Linked DNA regions of Notamacropus eugenii. The protein of the gene in region 1 interacts with the protein of each later gene in a biochemical or structural test. Links are inferred from orthologs where the notes say so. Each region holds a gene or a part of one and is shown in the gene's direction. Other genes may lie near its edges.

Region 1 (10,701 bases):
AATGACGCATGCAGCTAGTAAGTATTAAGTGTCTGAGGCTGGATATGAACTCAGGTCCTCCTGACTTGGGGGTCAGTTTGCTAGCCACTGCACTACCCAGCTGTCCTGGCAGGACAATTTCTAAAGACATATCAATCAAACACATTCTTTTCGAAAGAGAGCTGCCACCTCCAGGCTCGCTCTTAGAATGAGGTTGTCTTGGGAAAGGCCATTGACTGGATAGAGACATCTGAACATCTTAACAGATGTAGCTTCACCTGAACCAGCTGGAGGCACCAGAGTCCTGGGCTGGAGTCATTAAGACACAAGTTCAAATTCAGCCTCAGACACTTACTAGCAAGTCACTTCCCCTCCTTTGCCTCAGTTTCCTTGTCTGTAAAATGTGCCTCTCTCAAGTTTGTTGTAAGGATAAGAACACGCTTTGTTTACGTTTGCTATATAAAAACTAGCAGTGATAGGGGAAGGCACAGTTCTATCCCTGGAACCTGAGCAGCCCCCATCTACTGGCACTAAGGGCAGGCAGGTCCCCCAATAACCTGCTCCCCTCCCACCATTGTCTGGCTGGCAGAGCTCTGGATTGGGAGGCAAGGGCCCTAGGTATGACCTCCTTGGACCTCTGAGAATGAAGACCAACTCAAAATCCAGCCGTATTCCCTACGACTCTCCCAGACTCTGAAATTTGCTCCCACTTTTCTCTACACATGGCAGGACCTTCAAGGCCTAGGCCCAGTGGCACCTTCTCCCTGACGGCTTTCCCTCATACCTCCCCCCACCATGGGCCCCAGACCTCGGCCCTCAGGACAGGCTTCCTGCTTGAAAGCGTGCTCTCTCTCTCTCTCTCTCTCTCTGTTGCCACTGGCCTGCCCCAACCCAAGCTCAGCTAAGGCAGGGCCTGTGTTCTCCTCCCTAGCACAGGATCTTGCATGGGCTGGTTCAGAGAGAGCCCCTCTACCCTTTCCGCAAACTCCCCCAGACCTCCCACCTCTCCTCCCCTTCTCAGCCAAGCTCCCACACCAAGCTGCCCCCACCCCCACTTCCTGCCCTAGCCCTCACTTACCAACAAGCCCCAGTGACTGGCCTTCCGTCCTGGCCCACAGCTCTACCGCTAGGCTGAAGCTGCTCCATCCGCCTCCCCCACCCCCAAGAGCTATTGGCCACTCCCTCGTTGGGATGCCTGCACTCCCCAGGGGACCCTCAAGGCCCATCAAGGAAGGGTCTGAAGGCTGCTCTGCCAACCTGACTATGCCCACTTAGCAGGTGAGATCACTGAGGCATGGAGTAACGGCCTGACAGCCAGACTTCTGCTCTAGGGCTCTCTCAGAGAGTTCTGAGCATGACCACCCACATTAACTGGGGCAGCTGTCTCCAGCCAATGAGGCAAGGCGCAAGAAAACCAGAGCTTAGCTCTCCTCTGAAATTGCCCTCACCTACCACTTTAAGCTTCTTTCCAGGGCAGGCAAGCTTTGCTGCAGGGGCGGGAAAAAGAGGCCAGAATAAAATTAGTGCAGTGTGGAGGGACTGGTGTCAGGGCCACCAATACGGGCTGTATATCAGAGCCAACAGCAGCCAGACCAGGAACCCTGGGAGCCAGGCAGCAATCCACTGTCCTCTGGCTGTGTGTGCCTCTGTCTTTGCACTCTTCAGAGGAGGCTTTCTCTGTTGGACCCCACTACAGCAGCCCACCAAGTTGCCTCTTAGAACAACATAGCTGGAAGAGACCTCTCCCCCATTTTACAGATGGGAAAACGTAGGCCCAAAGATAGGATGGGACATATCCAAAGTCAAATTGCAAATAAGTGTGGGATTGGGCCTCACACCCCCCCGCCCCAGTCCCTCACCCCATCATCAAGAGGATAGCACTGGTGGGATCTCTGGCTCATGTCCCAAAGACATTAGGGGTGGCCAGCAGACTCAGTATTTGGACACCTTTGTCCTCGCTAATGTATTAGTGAAGGCAAAAAATTCAGAATTTCCATGTGTAAGTTTCTGAGTCATTTCTCCCGGCTCCCTGAGGATTCATGTTTTCTCAGGTCTACAGCCAAGCCTCCCCTCAAAGAGACCTCCAGTCCCAAAGGCCAAAGTACTGCCTGTCTCAAACCATCACCCCCACTCTCTCTCTCTCTCTCTCTCTCTCTCTCTCTCTCACACACACACACACACACACACACACACAGCCCACAGGGCAGAAAACTTTCTAGTGAAGGCCAGAGCCCAGGTCTCACCCTGCCTTTGGCTGCCTACCCAGGCTCTCTGACTTTCCTGGGGAGCAGCCTGTTCTCCCTTCCCGTTCCTCATTTCCACACAGGGACATTATCTTGTCCCTGGAGGACTTGGCTGGTCTTCCCCTGCCCTTAGAGGGGATAGAGGCAACACCACCACACATTCGGACATTTGCACACAGTGTTGGCATCCCTGGGCTGGCTGCCCAATGCCCCAGCCCCAGGCCTGCTGGGGATTCTGGCCAATGAGTCACTCCCTCAGTGAGTCTGCTTCCAGGAGGAAAGAATCTTGAAATCCCTGAGGAGCAGGGGGTGGGATGAAGGGAGAGCCAGAGCTAGGCCCAGGCCTCATCCCAGCAGCCTAAGAAGGCTGAGAGAACAGGGCCCTTTGTTGGAGAATGCCTGAAGGGCATGGACCAGAAGTGCAGGTGAAGACAGCTGGTGATGAAGACTCCACACCTTCTCAGGCAGCTCTGACCCCATTGGGCCATCCCAAGGCATCTTTGTGCCTTCCTTTGACGCTCTGGCTCCTGACTTCTGGGGCCAAGCAGACCAAGGCTGGCCAGCCCTTCAGAGAGCGGAGGCCCACATGGTGGGCAGACCCAGTCGGTGAAGGCAAGAACCCTGGCCAGACTTTCATTCCTGCCCACTGGGTCAGTGAATCAGCTTCTCTGAATACTGAGAATCTGCAAACTGCCTGGCCTCTGGGAAGAAATGGGGGGATTACAATGATCACCTACCACTATGTACTCCAGTGGTACCCTAGCTGTTAGATGGGGAAACTGAGGCACACAGGCAGGATCAGGGTTTAAAGGTGAGTAGACACGGCACCAGCCCCTGTGGGGCTAGGCCAAGCTAATGAGAAGGAAGGCATACCTTCATTGCAGCTAGAGAAACTGAGGCACAGAGGATTCTAACCTGTCAGAGCTAGAAAGGTCCTTGGAGGTCACCTAGTACAATTCTCTCATTTTCCAGATAAGGAAACTCAAGGTCCCCCAGTGAGTGAAGGCCAGAACCATTAATGGCTAATGTCAATGGTTCTGCTGTTAACAGCAGCATTTCCGACGCCTTGGACATCCTGCAAGCTGTGCAGCAGCCTCTGTTCAAGGTCTTACAACCTAGGACAGCTGAGTCCACAAAGGCCCTTGAGGCCAGTATCAGCATTGTACCCTCAAAAGGCCTTTCCATGGTCTCATGTTGTTTCCTCACGGCTAAAGCCATGCATTCTCACTAAACCGCCTCTGTGAGGGCAGGGACTAGAGTCCAACCCTGACCCACACAGTAGGTGCTTTATGGACCTCCTCTGAGGTGGCTCAGGGATTAAGAACTCCGATGCTTCTCCTTGGCCCATTGGAGGCCCTAACCACTGAACCACCTGTCATCACATCACATGAGTCCCTGAGCTCAGTAGCTGGTGTTTGGCTCAGCCACAGCCAGTTTGCTATTATCGGAATGCTCTCTCTGACAAGTTCAGGGTCCCAGCTTCCCTTCTCCCCGCAGATGAATGAGGAGCCCAGCGCTGAGGGGCAGAGAGAGTAACTCTAACAAGCACACACAAGAACTCAGGCTGCAGGCAGCCTCAAGAGAACAAGAGCATGGTGCTGGGTAGGTTTTCACCAGTGTTTGCCATTTACCCAAACTTCTGGGCCTGGGGGTCCAGGTCCAGGCTCCCCCTGGGCAGAAGAAGCCCCTCCAGGTAGCCTGGCCCTGCTGGAGAAAGCCTCAGGGCCCAATGGCCCAATGATGGTAAGCCAGGGGCACCTGGACCTTGCCTGGATGCCCATAAGGGCCTGGGGTGAAGTCTGAGTACCAGATCAGGCTGGCCCTGCCCCAGCTCTGCCGACAGCTGTCAGGCCGCCCACACACCCCCACACACCCCCCCCCTCGCTTGTGGGGCCCTGACCAGGGTGCTGCCCCCCACGTTGCCCCCCTGATCAGGGTGCTGCCCCCACATTCCCCCCCTGATCAGGGTGCTGCCCCCCACGTTCCCCCCCTGATCAGGGTGCTGCCCCCACATTCCCCCCCTGATCAGGGTGCTGTCCCCCACGTTCCCCCCCGATCAGGGTGCTGTCCCCCACGTTCCCCCCTGATCAGGGTGCTGCCCCCCACGTTCCCCCCTGATCAGGGTGCTGCCCCCCACTTTCCCCCATCAGGGTGCTGCCCCCCACGTTCCCCCCATCAGGGTGCTGTCCCCCCATCAGGGTGCTGCCCCCCACCTTTCCCCATCAGGGTGCTGCCCCCCACGTCCCCCCCATCAGGGTGCTGTCCCCCCATCAGGGTGCTGCCCCCCACTTTCCCCCATCAGGGTGCTGCCCCCCACGTCCCCACCATCAGGGTGCTGCCCCCTACTTTCCCCCATCAGGGTGCTGCCCCCCACGTTCCCCCCTGATCAGGGTGCTGCCCCCCACCTTCCCCCATCAGGGTGCTGCCCCCCACGTCCCCCCATCAGGGTGCTGCCCCCCACCTTCCCCCATCAGGGTGCTGCCCCCCCCCCGCGCCCCCACGATGCGCGCAGGGTCACACCCAGCTCCGCCGCAGCTCTGCCCCCCGGCGGGGCGGCCATGCGCACCCCCCATCCCTTCTCCCGGGGCCGGAGGCTCCCTTACCTGCAGCAGCCCAGGCGGAGGCGGCCGCGGCCGCTCAGGCTCCCGAGGCTCGCGGGGAGACAGAAGGGAAGGCTCGGGGCGGCCCCCGCCTTGGCCCCCCTCCCGCTCCGGCCTGTGGGCGGGGCACAACCCTTCCCGCCCCCTTCCTCCCCGCTCTCGCCCCCATTTCGCTCTCCCTTCCTCCCTCCTCTCTGCCCCTCCCCCTCCCTTCCTCCCTGCCCCGCCCCGCCCCCAGCGGAGCAGCAGCGCCACCCAGTGGAGGCAGACGGGAAGGACCGAGGTCCTGGCGCCTGCGCAATGGCTCGACTTCCCGAGGCCCGCTGGGAGTTGGAGTTCAGCCTCGGGGCCACCCGAAGGCCTGCGGTCTTGGTGGGCAGAGCCATTTATGGAACCCGCCCAGCCCGGGGAGGGGGAAGGGCAAGGACTGGGCCCATTCCCCAGATGGAAGTGTAGACAGTGCCCGGGATGAAGGCAAAGCCTGGTGGTGCAAGGACAGGCTCCCGTCCGTGCTCTGGATACGGTCCTGGCAGCGGAGCCCTGGCAGCTGGGGGCAGGGGCGCCCGGGATTCAGGGAGGCAGGCCTGGCGGGAGGCAGCCTGTGCAAAGACGGGGAGGTGAGAGCCGGAGGGCGTGGCCGGGGACGGCGGGGAGGCACGATGGGGATTTCCAGATCTCTGGGGGGCCCTTGGGGCAGAAGCCGAGTGGCGGGATGTGAGCGCAGAGACGCTGGCTGGCCAGCTCCGGGCGGAGAGGAAAGAGCCCAGCGGTGATGGGGGCTGGGGCTGGAGAAGCTAACGGGGTTCCCCCAGGCAGGGGCTGGGGCTCCCGAGGAGGAACCCCGAAAAGCTGAAGGAGCGGCCAGGCTGCAGCGAGCATCCGGGAGGGACGGGAAAAGGCCGGCACACGACCGGAGGGATCGAAACGTTCGCTGCCTGAACCGTGCCCGGTGGGCAGCGGGGCCAAGGCCCTCCAGCGTCCAAGACCCTGGGAGCCGCGCGGCCTCGGGGGGGCGCACGCAGTAACCAAGCTTACGCACCGAGAGGCGAAGGCTGCGCGCGCATCTCGAGATCCCGGGCAGACAGCTCTGACCCCGCCCCTGAGGCCCCGCCCCGTGGCCCCGCCCCGACAAGCCCCGCCCCTGTGGCTTGGCTAACGGCCCCCCCCCCCCCCCAAAGGGCCTTCGGCCTCTTCCGACGCTGCGCAGCCGCCGCCGCCGCAGGACCCTTGGCCCGGCCCGGAGGGAGGGAGGAAAGAGCGAGGCGCTGGTGAGTCTGCCGGGCCCTGCCCCGCCTGACCGCCTGGGGCCTCGGACCCGGCTCCAGGACCCTGGGGGACGACGGAGGGGGAGGGCGCGCCCTTCCCTCCCCCTCCCCCACGCCCCCCGACTCGCTGCGGGGGCGGGGCCTCGCCCGCGTGTCCGGCACCGCCCTCCACGCAGAGCGCATGCTCGGGGCGGCGGAAGCGGGGGCGGGGCGGGAGGGGCCCATGCTGGGGCGGAGGCGGCTACGCTGGCCGAGGTGGGGAGCCCCCGGGCCGGGCTGCCCACCCCCGCCGCGCACGGGCCACGGGGTCCCCCGATGGGTGCTTGCGGCAGCGGTCGGCCCCCCTCGGTGGCCCCTCAGCGGGGGCTCCGCGCTCCGGGAAGCTGGTGAGAGCGCGGCCCGCACCGCAGGGGGGCCGCGGGGCCCGCACCGCAGGGGGGCCGCGGGGCCCGCACCGCAGGGGGGCCGCGGGGCCCGCACCGCAGGGGGGCCGCGGGGCCAGTGGATGAAGAAGCGGGGGCCGGCTGGGTAGTAGGGGATCAGTCCGGAGGTCAAAGAGCATACTGGGCAGCATCTGGGGGGAACCCTTGGTCTGTGAACAGACATGGATCAGGTGCCTCCAAGGTGCCAGGCACTGGTCTGGCACTTTACCCAGTCCCAGCACCCCTGAGATGGAGATGCTGTTGCAGCTAATTTACAGACGGGGAAACAGAGGCAGGCACCAGCAGAGTGACTGGTCCAGGCTTACCCAGCTAAGGAACTACTGGCCTGTGCCGGGGCCTGCCAGCTGCTTGCCCTCCACTTCTCAGGCGCACATGGGGTGGTCCTGGAAGGCTGGCAGGCCCCAGGCCCTTGGAGATAGCTGTGGCCTCCTGGGCTTTCTGAGAAAGTGGAGACCCCCTGGGGATCGCTGCGCCTCCCAGCCCATCTTCCCCCTAGTAAAACAAGACTGGGCCGTCTGAGGCCCACAGGAACCGTGTAATCAGAACCAGCCCTTGTCTGACATGTTCAGGTTGGTCTCTTTGGAGACTCGGTCCTGCTCCTTGGCTGAGGAAACTGGAGCAGAATTTAAGCTTTTCACTGAATGAAGCTGGCTAGTATTTGAGACCAGATCTCAATTCTGGGCTTTTTCCTTCCAGATCTAAGCAGGGATCTTGTTAGCAACCCTTAGAAACCTCACCCCATGGAATGATTGGTGGAGAAGATTCCAGCTTTCCTAGCCCCGCTGAACCCCACTGTCCAGGGTGGAAGGGCAGGCCCAGGACATTCCCCCTGTCCCCAGTTATGCAGCCAGGCTCCCTTCTTCCCCATCTCCTTTCCTTTCCCCCTCCCCCTCTTTCCCCCCCTCCCCCTTCCCTGCTCTCCCGTCCTCCCCGGGAGGGTCTAGGGGCTCAGCTCTGCATCCAGCATGGGGCTGGCCTCCTTGAGGGCCGGGGTGGAGGTCCCAGGAGGCTGGGAGAGCCTGGGTGGGGCCTGGGGGAGGAGCCATGGGCGGGCAGTCTGAGTCATGGGACATGAGTCAGGTCTCTGGCCTGGTGTGTGTAGCTGCTGCTGCTGCTGCCTGGCTCCCTGGGTCTCCCCCGACCTCTGCAGACCCCCCTCTTTCCAGCCCCAGGTAAGCAGAGTCTGGCCAGGTTCTCTGGCCCTGGGCAGCTCTGGCCCAGAAGAAGGATGCTGTGAGTGGGACAGCTCCAGATCTGCTTCCAGCTGTTGGGGGAGGGGAGGGGAGGAGAGTGTGGGGCAGTCCCCAGACGCTGCCGAGCCAGGCTTCACAGGTCAGCTGTTGTTAGGACGGGGAAGGAAGGCCTTGAACATCAAGCCCGGAGAGTTTCAGGAGTGACAGTCCTAGCCGATGGGTGTCCCAGGAAGACCGATGATGTAGGTCTTTTTAGGGGATGGGGCTGAAAGAGGAAGGAAGGGAGGAGGGGTTCCCTAGCATTCACCATGCTGTTGAGGCCCACGGGAGTGGTGGAATGGTGGCCCTTTGGTCCCAGGCCCAGCCAGACTAGTGCTTGCCTGCTCTGGGGCCTGGGAGAGGCCAGAGCTGGGAAAGCTCCCAGGTGGCAGCCCAGCCCCCAGTCTGTCCGTCTGACTCCTAAGACATTGGCCAGCTGCCTGCTGCTGACCAAGCGTTCTGTCAGATGCTGGGCAGCCCCTGCCCTCAGAGGGTTTATAGGCAGGATGCTCACTGGGGAAGGAGAGGGGGAGCTAAGAGGGGGAGAGGCTTCCTGTTGGAGGGAGGAGGGACCATATGCCAGGCCTCACGGAGAGCCAGTACAAAGGCTTGGGGGCGGATGGGTACTGGAGGCCCATTTGGCAGGAATGTAGATGCATGAAGGTGACATAGTTTGGGTTGCTGGGAACCCTAAATGTCAGGGCACAGGGCGGTGTCACCTGGGACCAATTTCATGGGGCCTGGAATGAATGAATGCACGCACTCAAACCTTGTACTCAAGTGACAAGGTTTGCCAGGGTGGTGAACCTGCGCCTTGAGGCCACGTGTGGCCTTCTAGGTCCTTGGGTGTGGCCTTTTGACTGGGTCTGAGTTTTTCCTTGACTTTTTAAAAAATTGATTTGTTTGTTTTTAGTTTTGAGATTCACTTCCGTAAGATTTTGAGTTCTAAATTTTCTCTCCTCCCCTTCCCTAAAATGGCATGTAGTCTGATACAGGCTGTACACGTACATTCATATTAAACATTTTCACATTAGTCATGTAAAGAATTAGAACCAATCGGGGGAGGAATCATGAGAAAGAAACAAAACCAAAAGAGCATTTATACTCTGTGTGTTCTGACTCCCCAGTTCTTTCTGTGGGTGTGAATGCATTTTCCATCCTGAGTCTTTTGGAGTTGTCTTAGATCCTTGCTTTGCTAAGAAGAGATAAGTCCATCAAAGTTGGCCATCATGTAATGTGGCTGTTACTGTGTGCAGTGCTCTCCCGGTTCTGCTCACTTCTCTCCGCATCAGTTCATCTAAGTCTCTCCAGGTTTTTCTGAAGTCTGCCTGCTCATCATTTCCCGCAGCACAGTAGTACTCCATCACAATTGTCTACAACCAGCTCAGCCATTCCCCAATGGATCCCCTCGATTTCCAGTTCTTGGCCATAAGTAGTTTTATATACATGGGTCCCTTTCCCATTTTTATAATCTCTTTGGGATACAGCCAAGTCCAGATTTTACAGAACAAATCCTTTTACGAAGGGGAGTTCTGTGAAGTTTGGATTCAGTCAGAGGGATGCACTTGAGGACCTAGAAGGCCACATATGGCCTCAGGGCCAAAGGCTCCCCACCCCTGGTTTATTGTAAGGTCCATAAAGCTGGGGACCTGCAGCTTGATGGAGTTGAAACTGATACTTATGTACAAATGGGAAAGGATCTAGCTGGGATTGAGGAGTGTGGTCTGGGATGGGCCAGTTGTCTGGGCTGCTGGAATATGTGGGAAAATTCCAGAATTGGGCTGTATCTTTTCTTTTCAGGGGTCTCATCACCCCATCATTGGAAGGCCTGTCTCTGGAGCGGGGTTGGGATTTGTTGCCCAGTGTTTCTTGAACAGAGGGGCATCTATGAGGAGAGAGGTGGGAGGGCTGTGGAGGGAGAACTTGACTGCTGACTGGATCCTGAGGGAAGGCCAGGGTCAGGGCCCGTTAGAGGTCATTGGTTACCACCTGGGCAGGCCCTGGGTACTCTCTGACTGGGTCTTCTGCTGCCCCAGTTCTCTAGCTTTCAAGAGGGATAGTAAACACTTGAGGCAGCCCTAGCCAGGGGGAAGGAACAAGAGGGAAACCTAGAAGGGAGAGGGCACAGAGAGCAGGTGACCCCAATGCCCCTGACACCTGCTTTGTGGGACCTGTAATCTCTACAGTAGAAGGCCAGCCAGGGCAATGGGCTGCCTTGATCTGTGCCTGGATTTCCCCCAGGCCATTTCTTGTCCATCTGCTGACCCTGAAGCTGTGGGCACTTCTCCCCTCTCGGGGGCCATGGCCCAGATCCCCAGGCAGTGGGGAGGGAGCTTTGACATGACTCTGTCTGAAGGGACTGGGGACAAGACTAAGGGAAGGCACCATTCTTGTTGGGTCACCTTTTGGTTCCATCTGGTGGGAAAGGGAGAGAAGATGGCTGGACTGGGGGGCTCAGCTGCCCCTTTCCTGTTTGGCTTCTTGTAATGCTCTCATGTCTTGTTGGTTCAGAGCTATCCCTAGATCTGATCCATAGATCTGATTGGTTAACTTTCCTCGCTTCCCTAAATTGCTCACTCTTTTTGAGCTTAGCTCGGTATATGATGTGAGATGTTGGTCTGTGCCTGTTTCTGATAAACTGCTTTCCAGTTTTCCCAGCAATTTTTTTGTCAAGTAGTGCATTTTGCCCCCAAATGGGGATCTTTGGTTTTTATCAAACACTAGATTACCATGGACATCTAGGTGGCATGGTGAGTAGAATGCTGGACTTGGAGTCAGGAAGACCCGAGTTCAAATGTGGCCTCAGACACTTCCTAGCCATGTGACCCTGAGCAAGTCACTTCACCTTGTGTGCCTCAGTTTACTTATCTGTAAATTGGGCTGGAGAACGAAATGGCAAATCCCTCCAGTATCTTTGCCCAGACAACCCCCCCAGGGGA
Region 2 (10,273 bases), on another chromosome or scaffold:
GAGCAGAGCCTTCATTGGAGAACCAGATTAGCAGAGGTTGGTTGACTACTCGTCGAGGCTGTTGCATAATTCTGTTCAGGTATAGGTTGTACAAGTTGACTTGTGATTCTTTCAACACTGGGATTCCATGGTTGTTTCTATACTGTTTTCCCCTTAGTGGCAAGATGCCAGAAGTTTACATTTTTCTCTTCTTTCAAGACAATGGTTCTCAGAAGTCATGGTGCCATCAATTTTAGATCCGAACATTTTAGAGGAATCTGGTCACAGGAAGATCGTTTGTAGCTCCTACAAAGAGCCTTTAGGAGCAGGAAGCAAAGCCTGGGAGCTAGCAGAGGGCAAATCACAGACGATTCCTATTCGGAAGAATTCCTTGCACCTAGGTAAGTATCTACCAAATGGAGAGCAATACGTTTTGAAGATCAAAAGTGGCAGTGTAGTTATTGATGGTGAGTATGACTAACTATTGGAGGAGTCATTAAATTTAAAGGAAAAAAAATTTCACACATCTGCCTTCCAGAACAAATCTTGCCAGAGCGATATATCTTATAAAGAGGATTTTAGGAAACAAAACTTTAAGGTGCCCTTCGATAGCTCAGCTGGTAGAGCGGAGGACTGTAGTTTGTATAATCTGTGGAAATCCTTAGGTCGCTGGTTCGATTCCGGCTCGAAGGAGGTGCTACCGTTTTAGACACACCCAAAGATTGGCATTCAATAACTGTGTACCTGTTCTGGACTACTCTCCCCAGTCTTGGGCTTTAAAAGAAAACCAAAACTCCTGAGTTCTTTCTAGTAGTAGATCGATAAATTCTCGGGGCAATTATTTGATCTGAACCTTCAAAATACCGGGCAACAAACTATTCTTACTTGGATTTTTTTTTTAAACTTCCAGTAATAATACAGACCTTCAGTTTCTGTTTTGACCCGGAATTCACGTAAGGAACACTGTCCTAGAACCTCAAACATGTCTCTCCTCTATATTTTCCCTTTCCCCACTACAACACTCCCTCTCCTCTTCTCTCTCAGCCCCTTACCAATAGTAACATATTCTGAATTAAGAAATCTTAGAAAAACAAAAGGTCCAGAATATCAAAGGGACTAATGAAAAGAAATGCTTGGGAAGGTGGCCTAGCGCTACCAGACCTCAAACTGTACTATAAAGCAGCAATTATCAAAACCACTTGGTATTGGCGAAGAAACAGAGAGGTAGACAAGTGGAATAGACTTGGCACTCAAGATGCAGTAGGCAAGGAATATAGCAACCTTCTGTTTGATAAACCCAAGGACCCCAGCTTCTGGGATAAGAACTCATTGTTTGACAAAAATTGCTGGGAAAACTGGATAACAGTGTGGCGGAAATTAGGCATAGACCCATACCTGACACCGTACACAAGAATAAAGTCCAAATGGGTACATGATTTAGGTATAAAGATTGATACCATGAATAAACTGGAGAAGCAAGGAATAGTGTATTTATCAGATCTATGGAGAAGGGAAGAATTCTTTACTAAAGGAGAGATAGAATGCATTATGAAATGCAAAATGGATAACTTTGATTACATTAAACTGAGAAGTTTTTGCACAACCAAACCCAATGCAACCAAAATCCGGAGGGATGTAGTAAATTGGGAAAGAATTTTTACAGCTAAGCTCGGGGATAAAGGCCTCATTTCTAGAATATATAGAGAACTGATCCAAATGTTTAATCATACAAGTCATTCCCCAATTGATAAATGGTCAAAGGATATGAACAGGCAATTTTCAGAGGAAGAGGTTAAGGCTATCTATAATCATATGAAAAAATGCTCTAAATCACTATTGGTTAGAGAGATGCAAATCAAAACAACTCTGAGGTACCACATCACACCTATAAGATTGGCAAACATGACAGAACAAGAAAATGATAAATGCTGGAGAGGATGTGGGAAAGTTGGAACACTAATTCATTGTTGGTGGAGCTGCGAGCGCATCCAACCATTCTGGAGAGCAATTTGGAACTATGCCCAAAGGGCTACAAAAATGTGCATACCCTTTGACCCAGCAATATCGCTACTAGGACTATATCCCCAAGAGATCATAAAAATGGGAAAGGGTCCCACATGTACAAAAATATTTATAGCAGCACTCTATGTAGTTGCCAAAAACTGGAAGTCAAGGGGATGTCCATCAATTGGGGAATGGCTGAATAAATTATGGTATATGAATGTAATGGAGTACTATTGTGCCATAAGAAATGATGAACAAGAAGACTTCAGAGAGGCCTGGAAGGACTTATATGACCTGATGCTGAGTGAAAGGAGCAGAACCAGGAGAACTTTATGCACAGCAACAACCACAGTGTGTGAGAGTTTTTTCTGGTAGACTTAGATTTTTGTAATAACACAAGAACTTCTTACCAAAAAAAAAAAAAAATCCCAATGGAGGATCTCAAGGCAAAATGCCTGCCACACTCAGAGAGAGGAATATGGAAGTCACTCACATATTGTAGCAGATCATGTTTGTGTATGTGTATGTGTTTGTGTATCATGTTCTGATTTGTTATACGATTTCTTTCATTTATCTTAGTCTGACTACATAGCATGACTATAGTGAAAATATACTCAATAGGAAAGTATATGTAGAATCTATACAGAATTGTATGCAGTTGTGGGGAGGGAGGGGGGGAGTGGGGGGTAGGTGGGGGGGATAAAATCACAATTGTATGGCAGTGATTGTTAAACATTACAAAATAAAAATAAAAAAAAAGATAAAAAAAAAAAGAAATCTTAGATGTTACTGCAAAAGGTTTCTTTTTAATTGGCATCTCATCAGGACTCTATAGTAATCCTGTTATATTGACATACAGCCTCCACTGGAAGACAGGCAAGGCAGCTGATTCCTTATTGGGACAGCTGTAGTTTGAAGAAGTTTCTCCTTAAATCTAACCTAAATCCGGTTCCCTGAAACTTCTGTGCTTAACTCTTTCCTCTAAGGCCCAGCAAATCAAGTCAATCTTTTCTCTTTCTCCCAGGTCTCGTCCTGAGATTGACGTGTCACTCTCAGCTTGTCTCACTTCCAACATATGGGTTTGCCTATTTTAACCACCTCAATATAATAGTTCTTATTCACATAACTTTAAAGTTTACTAAAAGCTTAAAACAGAAAGGAGCACTGGTTTGGATCCAAAATATTTGGTTTCTACCATTTATTATTATGGCGTTGTGTAAGGCATATCACTTCTCTGGGCCTCAGTTTCTTTATTTGTAAAATGATGGGCTTGGGTTAGACTCTGCCTCCAAATTTCTTTCTTTCCAACTTTAAATGCTATGGTCTTTGTTTTCTTCATAGTAAACCTGTGACTCGTATAATGCAAATGTTAAATACTGTACAAATTCTGACGATGAAGGCAAGAAGACTAAGAAACTTGGGTTTTCTGTGGCACGCGAGGGATGGGTTGAATAAAGCGTGTTCGCAGACACAAACAACCATACAGAAAATACTGGGTGCTAGGAAAAGCAAAAACTCATCTCCTTCGAGCCGGAATCGAACCAGCGACCTAAGGATCCCTACAGGCAAACTCTACAGTCCTCCGCTCTACCAGCTGAGCTATCGAAGGAGGACACTATAGCAAATTTACGGTTGACATTTCAGTGAGACTTTATGATCTTCTGTGGAGTTCATAAGCTATTTGAACCAGATTCATTTTTACATACTTTTTAAAGGTTTATTCATTTAACAAATACTATGGAACAAGACACTGTGGGGGAATACAGTAGTGAATAAGGTGATCATTGTTTCTGTCAAGGAGGATACAAAATAAAAGAGGTCAGGGTATGTAAACTGTAGTAACTTAAGTCCCTAGGGTTAAGGTTAGGGTTAGGGTTAGGGCTAGGGCTAACCCTGAATGTGTTCTCTCTGATTTAGACTAGAGAAGAGATTTGTGAAGGCCTTTTAAATGAAAGACAATTAGACTTACTTTGCAGGGTGTTCAAGCAGATCTTGGGTGACCATTTATCGGGGAGATTACAGAATGGATTCATGTATCAGGCAGGGTGTTGGACAAGATGACCTCAAATCCTTTCAGTGGATTCAGTGAATCTTAAAAAGTCATACACAATAAAGATAGTAACAGTGTTTTAAGGGTTCCGAGCAGGGTAAAATCACATTCTGCTGGAGAACAAGAAGGGCTTCTGGGAAAAGGCGATGTTTGACCTTCTCTTTGAGAGATGGGCAAGATTTAGGGGGCATAGATAAGTGGGACTAAAGCACTTCTGGGCAGGGGGAACTACCAGAGCAAAAGTAGAGGTTGCAAAAGAGCACATGCTAAGGGAGTCATGAAATAGTTCATTTTGGTGGGCTTTTTTCGAATGTTTAAATCCAATTAAATATCTATTTAAACTACTCCTACTACTTGCAAGGAAGTTTCCTTCTTTCCCTGACTAGTTCACTAAGCTAAGGGCGATGATTTCTCAGTCGCGAGGGTTGGCAAATGCCTCTGGGAGCTTTTCTGTCTTGCTACAAAGAAAGCGCAAAGACTAGTGTGCCCCTTTCCCTGGGGGAAAGGCCAGACGTAAGTCTCTGTCTAGTTAATTGGTCCCTCAATTCCAGACAGATTTACTCCCGCGCGGCAGAAATTAAGTTCTTAGTTCCCTCCCTATCCCTCAGTTTCCCTTTTGTCTCTTAGTACTAGTCAAGATCCCTCTGACTACAACTTCTGTTGGACAAAGTTAAAAGTGGAATCAATCTATTAGTATGGGTTTGGGCGCAGGTAGGGAAGGGAAATGAATACAGGGAAGGGGTAAGTGATGTCATGGCAGGATAAATAGTAGATGAGAAGAGAAAGAGGACGAAAGAAAGATAACCACATGATGTATTCCAAACCAGAAACAAAATGCATTCATATGTGACAGACAAGGAGTTTAACCACCCGATCCAGTATGGGGCTCGTTGGTCTAGGGGTATGATTCTCGCTTTGGGTGCGAGAGGTCCCGGGTTCAAATCCCGGACGAGCCCGTACTTTTTTCCCCCTCTCTATACATAAGGAAATATATTAAAACTTTTCTTGTACTTCAGTCCTCCCTGCTAAAAGGAAACAGAGTTAAACAGAGATATTAGTGAGAGCAAAGGGGAAAGTATTGGGGACATCTACATTAGACCAAGCTGACTCTATTTCAAGGTCCCCCGTCCACCTCTCTCCCCCGCCCTCCCTACTTAATGCGTGCAAGCCAGCTGTTTCTACCCCATTGGAGTAACAGCTCCTCTCCACCCCTGCATTCAATTTTTCCAGCCCTTTGCTGCCCCCTGGAGGTACTCCAGGAAAGAGCTTCCGAATTCCGACAGTGGTTCCCATTTCGCTGATCGGGGGCGCCTAGGCCCAAAGCAATGCCTCAGAATTGCACCAGAGCCACTCCCACCTTGGGACGCACCCTGCTACACCCACCAGAGTTTCCAAGTGTTAGGCTGGGAAAGAGGACCCATCCCCAGGCTGAGAGGACAGTAATGATCCCTTTAGTTCCGAGCAAGTTTAACAGAGGACCCCTGCATCACATGTTGACTCTCAAACATATCCACACATCACGTAATACAGCAGACACAGACACACTAACATGTACACGTACACATCACACACCAACGTGCATACAGAACAGTTACACACAACACCAACGCCCACAACTTTTCCCTTTCCTCTCCTAATACCCTCCCCCTTTTCTCCTTTCATTCCTCTTTTTCTTTAGCTCTTACTGACTCTTCTATTGGCCAATGAGCAGAGCCCCAAAGACCACATTTCATACATAACTTGTCTTTCTGGGATTGTACTTGTTTGTATTATCTTGGCCATCTTTCCGCACTCTGAGTCTAGCACTGTAGCCACCTCATCACAGTAAGAGCCCAATAAATTCCCATTACTTTGGGTTTTTTATCACGAACGAGCGCCTGGTGATAGAATAAATCTGTTAACTTTAGCTAATTTTTCCTCTCCCGTTTTCATTTCATAGATTTTCATTCCTAAAAGGAAACCTTATTAAGAGATCATCCTTCTCCTTCCGCATTACTGAAGGAGGAAACAGGACTGTTGCTCAAAACACGGTGAGTTACTTTTTATTGTTATTTTGGTTTTTTGGGGAAAGGGTAGGGAGGGATACAAAAGTCTTTGACTTCCAGTCCTGGACTCACTCTGTCTTTCCTTAAAAAAAAAGTTCAGAGTCAAATGATCCCCCAAACCCCAAGAATTTCAGCTAAGCAAAACAATTCAACATTTTGTATAAGTCCGACAATCTATAGTCCACCTTCTCTCTTCTGAGAGGCAAGAGGCATGCTTCACTCTCAGTCCTCTGAAAGACCCAACCATTGACCCACTGCACGTTTGGTGAAGTTGTTCAGTGTTGTTTTCCCTGTGTTATTGTGTCATCATGTATATTGTTTTGTTTACTTGGACCCTGGCTCAGTTGATGCTAGTTTTCCCAAGTTTGTCTGACTTGTTGATGTTAGCTCTTTCTAAGGGTGCAACACAACCTCATTACATTCATATATGTATGCTTAGCTATTCCTCAACAAGGGCACCCAGACTCTTATTTGATCAGTTAAGGCAAATGTGTAAGGAGGCAGTGTGCTGGACATATCAGTCTTCCTTTAAAGTTGAAGTTAACTTGCTTTCTTTTTCTGCTTAGTGTCTGGGTCCACTTTTTGAGGTTTAAAGGTCATGGCCCCCCTTTCCCTTATCCTAAGTAAAATATGTGTTTTAAAAAACTGTGTTTTCTGCAGTGGCATATACCTGGACCCCAAGAAAGGAATTTCTGATGGACATGTTTCTTAGACTTCCTATTAGAATTTCAGGGGAATCTGCAACTCTGACTTGGGACTGGTCATCAAGATAAGCTATATAATGTTTACTTAGCAGATATTACAGTTAGAGTATACAGTTAATGTTGAAAAAGTGGTCCCTAATGCAACTACTTATTGCTGTCTCCTTCTTCCCATATACTACAAAAGAAGCATTTATTAAAATATGAATTGAATGCAAAAGAATTGGGAGGAGGAACCAGGAATATGAAGGAGCTGGTGCCTGAGGTGAACCTTAAAAACAAAGCAAAATAGATTGATATTTGGAGGGAGGCCTTTCCCAAATCACTGTAGGAGGGAAGGAAAGGACAGATCTGGCCACAAATAGCAATTGTGATTGGAGTATGTGAAGGAGAACAATGGTTATAATGAAATGGGTTAAGAATTGCCATGTTTATGTAGAAGAATAACTTATAAGTACTTGGAGGAGTTTACTGGTGGAGGATTGAAACTCATTGTTGAATATTGAATTTGAAAAGTGTCTTGAAAAGAATAATCTGTATAGACAATTACATATGCAAACAACCTCAATTCTAGATGCTTGTCTCAGAGTTTGCAGAGGAGTGAATATTTAATCCCTGTCTCTATTTCCAAATAGAGAAAAATAAGTGTGTAAACAAGACTTTGGCCCCATTCTCCTTTAGTCAACAAGATTCCTGAACATCACCACAGGAAACATGCAGAGCACATCTGTTGCTTTTCCAAGAAATTCCCCCAATGATATTTTTCCATTGGCAAAAGTACATGCAAGTTCTAATCCCTGTGCGAGATAAGTTGCTCAGAGTGGTTTGCAGGGTATGTGGCAGCAGAGAGAGGGAAGGGACAAGTAAGCAGGATATGTAGGGAGTCACAGTAGAATTATCAGATTGGAAGCCCTGAATGTTCATGGTTCGGCTGGTTGGTGCTTCTGTCCAGAGGATGTGTGTGTGTGTGTGCGTGTGTGTGTGTGTGTGTGTGTGTGTGTGTGTGTGCGCGTGCAATTCTAGAGCACATCTGAGCTCACATTCCTGTGGTGTCCTCCGCATTTTGACATTCATATTAGGCAAGGAATGTATTGGTTAAGTATTTCCAGGCTAGCTATTTGGATTGTTTCAGTCACTGCTACTAAGACAGAAGTGGTAACTATTTGTTTTCTGTTTATCCTAGGAGATCATTGCTTGACATCTTTTTTAGAGCTCAGGTATTTTTAAAAGTATAGTTCTACTTCATTTTATTGCACTTTGCTTTATTGTTCTTTGAAGATGTTCTATTGAATTCTATTTTTCTCATTTTCTTTTTCTTTTCTTTTTTTAAAAACAAATTGAAGCTTTATGGCAAGCCCATGTCAAACAAGTCTCTCAGTACAATTTGTCCAATAGCATGTACTCACACAGTGTCCCTTGTCACATTTTGGTAATTCTCACATCATTTTAAACTTTTTCATTCTTATTATATCTGTTATGGTGATCTCTGATCAGTGATCTTTGTTGCTACTATTATAATTATTGTGGGGTGCCACAAATCATGCCCATATAAGATGGTGAACTTAATAAATGTTGAGTGTGTTCTGACTGTTTCACTGACTCACTTTTGTTTATCTCCCTGTCCTTGGGCTTCTCTATTTCCTTGAGACACAACAATATTGAAAGTCGGCCAATTACTACCCCTGCAACGGCTTCTGAGTGGTTAAACCAGAGGAAGAGCCAAATGGACACAGCGAATTTCATTGCTGTCTTATTTTTAAAAATTTGCTACAGCCCCTTGAACCTTCCCCCAATCAGTCAGCAGCCACAACATGGAGGCAAGACCCTCCACCAACAAAAAGATTACAACTCATTGAATGGCTAGCATTTTTTAAACAATAAAGCGTTTTTAAAAGTATGTGCATTTTTTAGACATAATACTTCTGCATACTTAATAGACTATAGTATAGTATAAACATAACTTTTATATGCACTGGGAAATGAAAAAAATTCATGTTACTCATTGTATTGCGATAATCATTTTATTGCAGTAGTCTGGAACTGAACTCCACAATATCTCTGATGTATGCCTGTATGGAAGCTATTCAAAACTGAACTTATCTGAGCACCCAGGGTACCTTTGCCTACATGAAGAAAGTGTTTCCCAGTAGTTGTTAGTTGCGTTTATTTTCCCTTCTACTGTCTAGGCAAGATGGTATGAGAATGTTGCTTGACTGTCAGTTTATTCTTTGTTCAATCTGATAGCAAACATGCCTTCACTCAAAAAAAAAAAACCCCTTTATAACTACCTTACATCTTCAAATCACTGTGCTAGTCACTTGGGATGAAAAAAATAATATGAAAAAATAATAATAGTAGTATTGATAATGCAGAGCAACCTAAGAGGAAATTGAGCACTCCAGTATAGCTGAAACATAAACACAAATATGAATCAAAAGTAATTTGACATAAGACTAGAAAGGCAGATTGGAGACCAACTGTAGAGAGCCTTGAATGCCAGGTAAAGAACGGGCTATTTTTTCCCTAAGAGCAATGGGGTTGCCATTGAAGATTTTCTGGTAGTGACATGGTATGAATATATTTGCTCTTGAAGAAGATTAACTGGTGGTTTTTTGTTTTTTTTTCTTTGATGAATTGGATGGGAGAAAGTCAGTAGGATGTCATCACATCTAACGAAAACCTCAAAAACCTGAAACATCTAAATGCATCACCTGGGGTCACCTTCCATCATGTAGGGTAATCCCATAGTAGAAGGCTGTCCATTGTGGTTTGTTCAACTTTAATAGTCAGCCAAAAATCTTGATTAGTTTAAAGTAAAGACAATTTTAAAGTCAAGTGGAATGGTAAAAAGAAAGAAAAGTACTTAACAAAACATTCCCTCATAAATCTGGGGCATATTTCATCACAAATACCGCATCAGCAGGGAATACCCATGGAGAAGCAGGCATGTTGAGAATACATATAGGCAAGTCACACAAATAGAGAAAGTGTGTGTTGATAATATTTAACATAAATTTTGGACTTTAATAAGGGCTAAAGCTTGAATTAAGAAGAGTCTGAACCTAATGGCCTTTTGGTGTCAGGGAAGCAAAGGGACTGACTTAATAATTCCCTTAGGAGACCCTTTCTCCTGGCATTTTAGTGATAAAAAAAACCCCACAGATGTCCTGGGTTGTAATTTCAATTGAAACTTTGTTTACCCTTTCCTGTGTCAGCTATTTTGAGTACCTGTTTAGGACAGGAAGCCTGCCACTAGAGTGGCGGGATTTTCTTCTTATTGTATGTCACAGACACATATGTTTACACAGCCTGGAGTCACTAAACCCTACTGACATTGCTTTGTTAATTGTCTTGTCTTACTAAATTTACAATTTTTCCAACTAAGAGAGTTCCTTTCTCACTGTAAAATGTGTATAAGCCAGAAGATTTCTGTACCAGCCAGCCAGATTTGATCCTGTCTCTGTAGTGCTATGCAACTGTTATCTTTATGGGGA

What was found. The genes of interacting proteins can lie anywhere in the genome.
Region 2: the proteins of RNH1 (region 1) and ANG are reported together in a solved structure, tested with the Homo sapiens proteins (3 studies listed by BioGRID and IntAct, with this or other methods). The link is inferred for Notamacropus eugenii from reciprocal best matches to the Homo sapiens genes RNH1 and ANG.

Annotation. Positions count from the first base shown.
Region 1 is NC_092873.1:27,882,407-27,893,107, forward strand, and holds the start of RNH1 (ribonuclease inhibitor), read left to right. Parts: upstream 1-6,253; 5' UTR 6,254-6,268; coding exon 6,269-6,473; intron 6,474-7,567; exon of another isoform or gene 7,568-7,702; intron 7,703-10,701. UniProt on the Homo sapiens protein: Ribonuclease inhibitor which inhibits RNASE1, RNASE2 and angiogenin (ANG). May play a role in redox homeostasis. Required to inhibit the cytotoxic tRNA ribonuclease activity of ANG in the cytoplasm in absence of stress.
Region 2 is NC_092878.1:13,451,510-13,461,782, reverse strand, and holds the start of ANG (angiogenin), read left to right. Parts: upstream 1-5,972; 5' UTR 5,973-6,063; intron 6,064-10,273. UniProt on the Homo sapiens protein: Secreted ribonuclease that can either promote or restrict cell proliferation of target cells, depending on the context. Endocytosed in target cells via its receptor PLXNB2 and translocates to the cytoplasm or nucleus.